Linked DNA regions of Danio rerio. The protein of the gene in region 1 interacts with the protein of each later gene in a biochemical or structural test. Links are inferred from orthologs where the notes say so. Each region holds a gene or a part of one and is shown on either strand. Other genes may lie near its edges.

What was found.
Region 2: the proteins of plin3 (region 1) and m6pr form a complex in vitro, tested with the Homo sapiens proteins (2 studies listed by BioGRID). The link is inferred for Danio rerio from reciprocal best matches to the Homo sapiens genes PLIN3 and M6PR.

The regions. Positions count from the first base shown.
Region 1 is NC_133183.1:21,143,285-21,147,115, reverse strand, and holds part of plin3 (mannose-6-phosphate receptor binding protein 1), read left to right. Parts: exon of another isoform or gene 1-852; intron 853-2,147; exon of another isoform or gene 2,148-2,341; coding exon 2,342-2,700; intron 2,701-3,831. UniProt on the Homo sapiens protein: Structural component of lipid droplets, which is required for the formation and maintenance of lipid storage droplets. Required for the transport of mannose 6-phosphate receptors (MPR) from endosomes to the trans-Golgi network.
Region 2 is NC_133191.1:17,663,804-17,668,142, forward strand, and holds the start of m6pr (cation-dependent mannose-6-phosphate receptor precursor), read right to left. Parts: upstream 2,832-4,339; 5' UTR 2,597-2,831; intron 2,102-2,596; 5' UTR 2,086-2,101; coding exon 1,937-2,085; intron 1,837-1,936; coding exon 1,679-1,836; intron 1,353-1,678; coding exon 1,246-1,352; intron 1-1,245. UniProt on the Homo sapiens protein: Transport of phosphorylated lysosomal enzymes from the Golgi complex and the cell surface to lysosomes.

The DNA.
Region 1 (3,831 bases):
TGTAACATTTGTTTTTTAAATAAAGTCTTAAAATGTAAACAACCTATAAAAAAACATCCTATAATGTAAATAAGTTGTCATTTAATAAGAATGTCAATAATTTGGACAAAAATGTCAGATAGAACCTTATAATTCTAAGATAATGAAATGTCTTCGAAAATGAAAGAAAATATGTAAGTTCAAGGTTAAATCATATGAAAAAAATGAAACTGAACGTGTTTATATATACATTATTGTAATGAAAGAGCACATTTTTTAGAAAGACCTTTTAGTTTTTAATGAATCAACACCTCAGTTTCAAGTATAATCTTATTTTCCAGAAATGCAATTTAATACATGCTAAGTTGTATATTACAGTGTTTAAAACAGAAAAAATAACTGTACAATACATTTTTTTTCCATTAATAATTTTGTTCAGCAAGCATGTATTAATCAAAGGTGGGACTTTACAGTTATATTATTTATAACATAATTAAATAACAATAAATGCTGTCTTTTGTCTTTTCATTTGTTAAAGTATCCTGGAAAAAATGATAACATTACATCACAGTTGGTGTAAACTTATAATATTGAACATGTGAGGCTGAAGACTGTCATAATGATGGTGAAAATCATGCCATCACAGAAATAAGTGAAGTTTATTTATAAACTAATTTCGAGAGGATCACATGCTTATGATTGCTTGCAGCTGGTCCCACATTATTCAATTTATGATTCACCAATCAGACGATTCCTAAGCCACTATAATCACCCTAAGTTCCCTATGACAGCCATCTTCATTTTAAAGAATCCTCCCTTTCACCCCCACTCCTCCTCCTTTCCTAGATGGGTGGCATGGTGACCCAGTGGTTAGTACTGTTGCTTCACAGCAAGAACGTCACTGGTTTTAGTCCTTACTAAACCAGCCAACGTTTCTATGCAGAGTTTAAACGTTCTCCCAGTGCTCAAGTGGGTTTCCCCCGGGTTCCCCTGTTTCCTTCCATTGTCCAAAAACATGCAACTTCAGTTAATTGACCAATCCAAATCAGCACCATAGACATGCTGCTAGTAAGTAGTTATCTCTTAACAGCAATCACTCTCTGTTCATTAGCTACTACAGCAGGGGAGTTCTCGAGATCTACCTGAGCTTAAACTCACCTCTCGCCTTGCAAACCGGAGGGAGCCCCGGGCTCAAGGATCTTATGAGCTCAGGGCTCTCTCCCGGCACAGCATGCCAAACAAGCTTTATAATCTATCATCAGCTTAGTGTGAACTCTTGAAATTACATTTAAATGCATTAAATTCACAATTTTTGATTTAATCAAATATAGGCATGCTTGGTGCATGAGACATTTTTGAGAAAAACATTAACAGATCAATATAAACACAGGGTGCTAATTACAGGAGGATTTGGGGGGGTGGGGGTCTGACCCCCCTAATTAACACCTGATTTCCCGTAAAGACATTAAAACAAGATGTACTGGGGGTAAGCCCCTTAATATTGAGAAAAATTTTGCTCTAAACTATATTTTAAATAATAATGTTAATAATTAAATTAATAGATAACATGAATATACATTTGGCCACCGTTATAACGGTTCATCCCACTGAGTATGCATAATCACGCCAATCAATCTATGCGTCAAAACATTCATTCAACAGCCTGAAACTGGCTACAGCACTGGTGTTCACAAGACACCAATGTTTTGTCATAAAATGTGTGCTTGTTTCTCCATAAAGCCCAAAAATAAAGTCACATTTGATGTATAGTTAGTAAAGTTTAACAGTGCCTACAGTAACGTTTGAAATACTGTTGGTCAAAATACACTCAATATCTAAATACCTACATATAATTGATTTAATTATTCATTCATTCATTTCTTTTTTCGGCTTAGTCTCTTTATTAATCTGGGGTTACCACAGCGAAATGAACAGCCAACTTATCCAGTACACGTTTTACGCAGCGGATGCCCTTCCAGCTGCAAAACAACACTGAGAAACACCCATACACTTTTGCACACACTTCCATACACTATGGCCAATTTAGCTTATTCAATTCACCTGTATAACTTCTTTGGACTGTGGGGGGAACCCGGAGGAAACCCACGCGAACATGGAGAGAACATGCCACACAGAAATGCCAACTGACCCAGCCGAGCTTAAACCAGTGACCTTCTTGCTGTGAGGCGATTGTGCTATATTAAATGTCATTTAAATAAATACATACTTTTTATTCACTGAAGCATGTATTACATTACAGACCAACATTACAAAAAAGTTGACTTTTCGTCTATGTATAATTCACACACTGTATATACATTTAAAGTGATACCAATACCAATGCTGTGTGTTCCTCCAACAGCTACGCTTGCTGAGCCAAGGCCAGGGGAGGAGGAAGGATTCATAGTGTCCACTCGTTCCAGCTACTTTGTCCGTCTGGGTAAACTGTCTGCCAAAGTTCGAGAGAGGGCGCTTGAGCAGTCCCTCCTTAGGGCCCGCAAGGCCAGAGACACTACACATGCGTCTGTGACTCAAATGACCAGCACTATGGACCTGCTGGAAAGTGCCCGGGTTACCTTGACCAGTGCCAATCAGCAGCTAGCAGGGGCTCCAGAGCAGCTGCTTCAGCGATGGAAAGAGTGGAAAGAAGGACAGCCCAAAGAACTGCAGGAAAAAGTAACAGCAGAGACAGAAGCGGACGGAGCAAAAGACAAAGAACAGGTACAGATGCACTTTCACAAAATCTTTCAGAAGTAATGAACATTCAAATATGATTAACTTTGATTGAGGGACCCTTTATCCTTAAATGTAAAAGACTTTTAAAAAAATATTTGGGGATTAAGTCTATTAAATATTTTTACTCGTAGTACTGGCTTTTTTAAAAAAAAAAAGAATTTATTTGCAGATTAATTTATTGTTTCAATTTCATTTCTTTAATTTTTTGCATTTATTATTATTTATTTATTTATTTTAATACAATTTTTGATTATTTTTTTACATTTCATACATTGTAATCATGTTATTATATTTATTAATTATGTAATTATTATTACATTATTTTAATTATTTTATTTAATGTATATAACTGTGTTTTATTCCCACTTATCCCCCCTGTGCCCTATTAATTTAGAACATTCTAACATTTAAACTTGGAATGATTCAAATAAAAATGCATTCAAAGTCATCTCTTTTAGGTGTAATTTACTTTTAAAGTATTTTTACAGTTCAGTTTTAGAGATCTTCATGTTTACAGTTGTGCTCCCTTCGCACTGCACTTTGAAAACATTGATGTTATTTGGAACACAGCCTCACAACAAAAGCTATAGGTGACTTATTATTTAAAAGTGGAATTTGTTAGGTCTCTAAAGCTTGTGAAAACAAAAAAACATAGCATACGTTAATGCTTTTCATTTATAGTGGGTCATTTATTAAGTATCTGTACTCTATGTATTATTATTATTATTATCATCATCATCATCATCATCATTATCATCATTATTTTTTTCATCAGGATTTTTTAAATTTCTTATGATAAATATCAAATTTCATTTTTGATGGTTCATTCTGCTGTGGCGATCCCGGATTAATAAAGGAATATTAAGCCAAAAAGAAAATGAATGAATGAAATTTCATTTTTAATAAATAGCCTCAGTTTTTAATGAATTATATGATTTATATATGATATTAGAATACGTGTTAGCTTCTGTAAGTGATTTTATGTTAATATGTAATATTCTCAATAATATTTGTAAAGGAAACACAGGCCCTGTATGTGTAATTTACATATATTTCAGTTAATATGGAAAAGGAGAGCATGATTTTACTAAAACTAATATTTGTTTTAAATGCGCG
Region 2 (4,339 bases), on another chromosome or scaffold:
GCCACAGCACTGCAATCACTGCATTTACGTTTCTCTGCCATTTTTGTTTTGATTTTGCCCTTACGACACGTTGGACAAGCACATTGCGCGAGTGAGCAAAATTTAAATAATTATTTAAAGTTATTTATTTTAATTATTTTTACTATTATGTTGGAATTTTAAGCATGTTTTGATTTTTTTTTTGGTACTTAAAAATACATGTATAATAGTAGGGCTGCTCAATGGAAAAAAAGGCTGATAAAAACACCCTGATGGGCATACATTTTGAAAATGCGCATAAAAAAACTTATGCGCATAACTTAATAGGATAAACTTTTTAATCGGTAAGAAAAAATGCACATAAACTACAATGGAAACACTTTTACCACACAAATTTCAGTATGCGCATTAAAAAAGGCCATGGGATATTGTGATAAGAGATCATGTGATGATGAAAATGTGTGTGAATGGACAACCCAGCAGGCTGAGCACACTGTAAAACATCTGAAATGTTAATTTGGTCATTTGAAAATTCCTTACAATTTATCATTAGTGTTATTATATTATTAATGACCTCCAGAATCAAGAGCGTCTGTGCTCCGCGTCTGATACCTTCAAACGCAACCACGTGTTCACTGCTTGTCAGGATTGCCTTCGAGTTGCAAATTATTTTTTAGATAAAGAAAAGATTGACGCAGCTTCTTCTACTGCTACAAATTCCATTTTTACAGTTAAAATTTGGCACCAGTCAATCAGGAAGTGATGATTTTGTTCGCTTTGACTAGTTGGATGGAAACGCTGCTTTATTTATATGTCTTTTATGCAAAAATCCAGTTTTGCGCATTAAGTTCATTTGCATTTCTGGATGGAAACATAACTAATGTTTCCAGCTTTTGAGAAAATGTGCTTATCGTGCTGTTATTGAGCCCTCCGACTGAAAAGCAAAGGAGGTATTTGGCTGCTAATAACAGTTTAGGGCTTTTACTATGGAAGTGTGGACCCACACCACTGGTATATTCTTTATTTGTGTCTTTTATGTGTGTTTTTAAGTGCATGTAATTTAATCCATTCTGCAGGGGATGCCAGGTATTCCAAAAGAATTAAGTAAAAGAATATTCAAATCTCAAAATTGAAAATCGAATGTCAACTTACAAAATGAACATTGGAAAAATGTAATATTCTGGTCCAGCCTTACATATTCCAGCAAGCATTTAACTGCATTTCAGCATTCAATCTGTACCATTTAAAAACTTAAAAAGTTTGTACCTTAGAACTTGAGCTGCATGAAATCATAATCATGGCTTTTCTCTCCTCACTGGAACAATGGCTGTCATATTTTTCCCCACCCTCATAGATGAGCAGAACCCAGTCACCTGTATCATAAAACCAAATAGGTGAACTTAGGTCAACAATCTGTTAACAATGCACCCTGTGCAAATGCAACAGCTTCTGTAATATAAAGAAACATTTGTGTACTGCAATATTCTATTCCAACTCCTACTATGTAAATAATGTAAGAAAAATCATGTAAGCCACAGAAGAATCTTTCAGCAGTCATTATTATAAAGAAGAACTGATTAAATCTACTATAATAAATTAACTTATCATTTTATCAGCTATAATTTATTTTAAGAATGTTTATGATGAAAGCAAAAAAACAAAGATTTTTTTGTTCTGAAAGACTAGAAGTATAACATACTTCCTGCAGTGGCAACTGTTTTACTGTAGTCCCCAATTCGAATCGTCTTTCCACCTTTTTCTTGCTGAATAAGACCTGCATTCTTTACTCCGCCAGCATCACCACACACCTGAAAAATGTATGAATATTTTTCTTTCTCCTGTCCCTCTGTGGTAAAGCTGTTCAGAGAATATACAAAAAAGTTAAAAACTAGTTAGGTAGTTGTTGCAGTAAACTGCTAACTTTAATGTGGGCTTAATTCACAAAAATCAGGCTTACTTTTGATTGGTGAGAGGCTCGAGTAAACGGAGTGCTTTTCTCTGAGATTCACTGTCTGACACAAGCTTGCAGTTGCTCGTGTTGAACCTAGCTTGCACTCCAGCAAATAGTACGAAAAGTGGAGTGATTATTCTCACAGACAGCAACATGACTTAGAGAACACACCTGATGGAAAAAGGGGATCACATTAAATAGTACTGTAAATGCACAGTATTTCTTTGGTAAGTGATCATTTGAGTCACACTGTACACAAACTGTGTACTTTAATATAGTAAATTCAGTCATGTCTCATATCTTGCGCATTTCAATTTATAGTATTTAAATTGCATAACGTTACATCTTAAATTTGGTTCGTATCATGCGTGTTCCACGTGTTATACCGTGAAATTAGTTTGATCAAGTGAAATTGCCTTAACTGGGCATGTTTACAGATTCTTGCATAACTACAAATGCCTTACTGTAATGGCAACAGAGCAACGCCGTACTGGTAACGTTGTGATACTAACAATGTTAGCAAAAAGGCAATAAAAGTTGCAATAAATTAAAGCAATGAAGCAAATGACAATGAAGCACTTTAGTTAGGAAACCAGTAATTTGTGTTTTTGCGAAAGTAGTTTAGCTATAATTAAACACAAACACACATATAATAAGTCCTATTACCGTTTTGAATGAAGGAAAGTGAAGGTCTTAACTTGTATAACGTTAACGTTAGATTTGTCTTCCCAGCCTGGAGATCTTCCTATTTCAAAACTATCGCACTAACTTACCGTCTTTAAACTAGACTAATCGGCATTACGTCAAAATATCTTCTGCTGTCAACTTTTACAAACCAAATAAACAAACTTATGAATATTCACTCTAAAACAATTGCACGATAACAGAATTTAATGGTTTCTTCTTAAACGCGGAAGTGAAACTAAACATGCACATGTGACTGTGCATGAGGCGGAAGTTGGTTTGCTGCACGTGAACATGGGAAATTGAGTGCTGGTCAGGCAATAACACGAGTTCTACCCCCCTTGCGAGCAACGTTGAGTAAATTACTTCAAAAAAAAAGTAAGTAATGACTAACTATATTATTGAATTGTTTTCAAATAATGTACTTTTCTAATTACTAGTTCTGGAAAGCAATTAATTTACTCAATAAGTTATTTAATTACCGTAATGAAAGCTTTTAATGCACAGGCAATTTAAATTACACTCCTTCAGTCAATTGAGTCAAACATTCATTTATTCATTTTCTTTTTGGCTTAGTCCCTTTATTAAGCTGGGATCACCATAGTAGTAGGAACCGCAAACTTATCCAGCATATGTTTTATGCAGCGGATGCCCTTCCAGCTGCAACCCATCACTGGGAAACACCCATACAGTTATTCACACACATTGCCTACAGTCATGGGCGTGGTAGTGGGGGGAGGGGGGGAGTGGACCTGACTACCCAAGTCCCCGTCTAGGGAGAGGGCCCTTTGAAATCCCACCAATTTTTTATTATTTTTTTTTTTTTTGTAGCCTACTTCGAATTAATTGGCCCCTCTAATTGATGTCAATGTCATCATATATTTCAAAATATATTGATAACACCCCCCCACCCGAAATGGTTTAGTCCGCCCATAGACGGCAGCCGGCGGCAAAAGTTACGCAGTGAGTCTAGAGCCTGATCATGCTGCGCAAAAAGCCCAAATCGGGATTTCAAAAAAAGAAAGAAAGGAAGGAAAAAGAAAGGGGGCAGAATGAGGGGAAGCAGCTGATGACTGCTTTCTTTTCAAAAGGTGAACTGAGTTTGCTTGTTATGAAACTACATCTAATTAAAGTTAACATAGTCAACTCCAGACAGCTGCTGCTAATGCAGGGCTCGAAATTACGACCATTTTGGTCGCATATAATACTGATTTGTGTACAGTCATTACTAGGGAAACCGTAATATTTCAGCGCTCCTAAAGCGCCCCCTTGTGACAGAATGAATTTTTATTTCCAATAAATTTTTTCAGCTGTTTATGGTCAAATTATTGCAATTATCGATCCATGTGTAAATGTGAAAGAAGTTAATGTGCCTTTTAAAAATCTAAACAATTAAGTAATACTAATATAAGAAATTATATACTTGATTTATCCATTTTAATGGTATAAAGGTTGAAATGCCATTGTATTAGATATTTTGTGTCTGTATACGTCTGCAAGATGTCTGTTAAAGATCTCTTGATCTGGAAAGCACCTGCTGTATACAAACGTCTGGCAGACGTCTGTATGATGTCAGTTTTACACACATTCTGAATCACAAACATCTTAAAAATGTCTAATAGAAGTCTATTTCACATCTGATAGGAAACGTCTTGTAGATGTCTTGCAGATGTGAATGCAGACGTCAAATAGACATCTCCGAGATATACGTGTGCTAATCAAAAT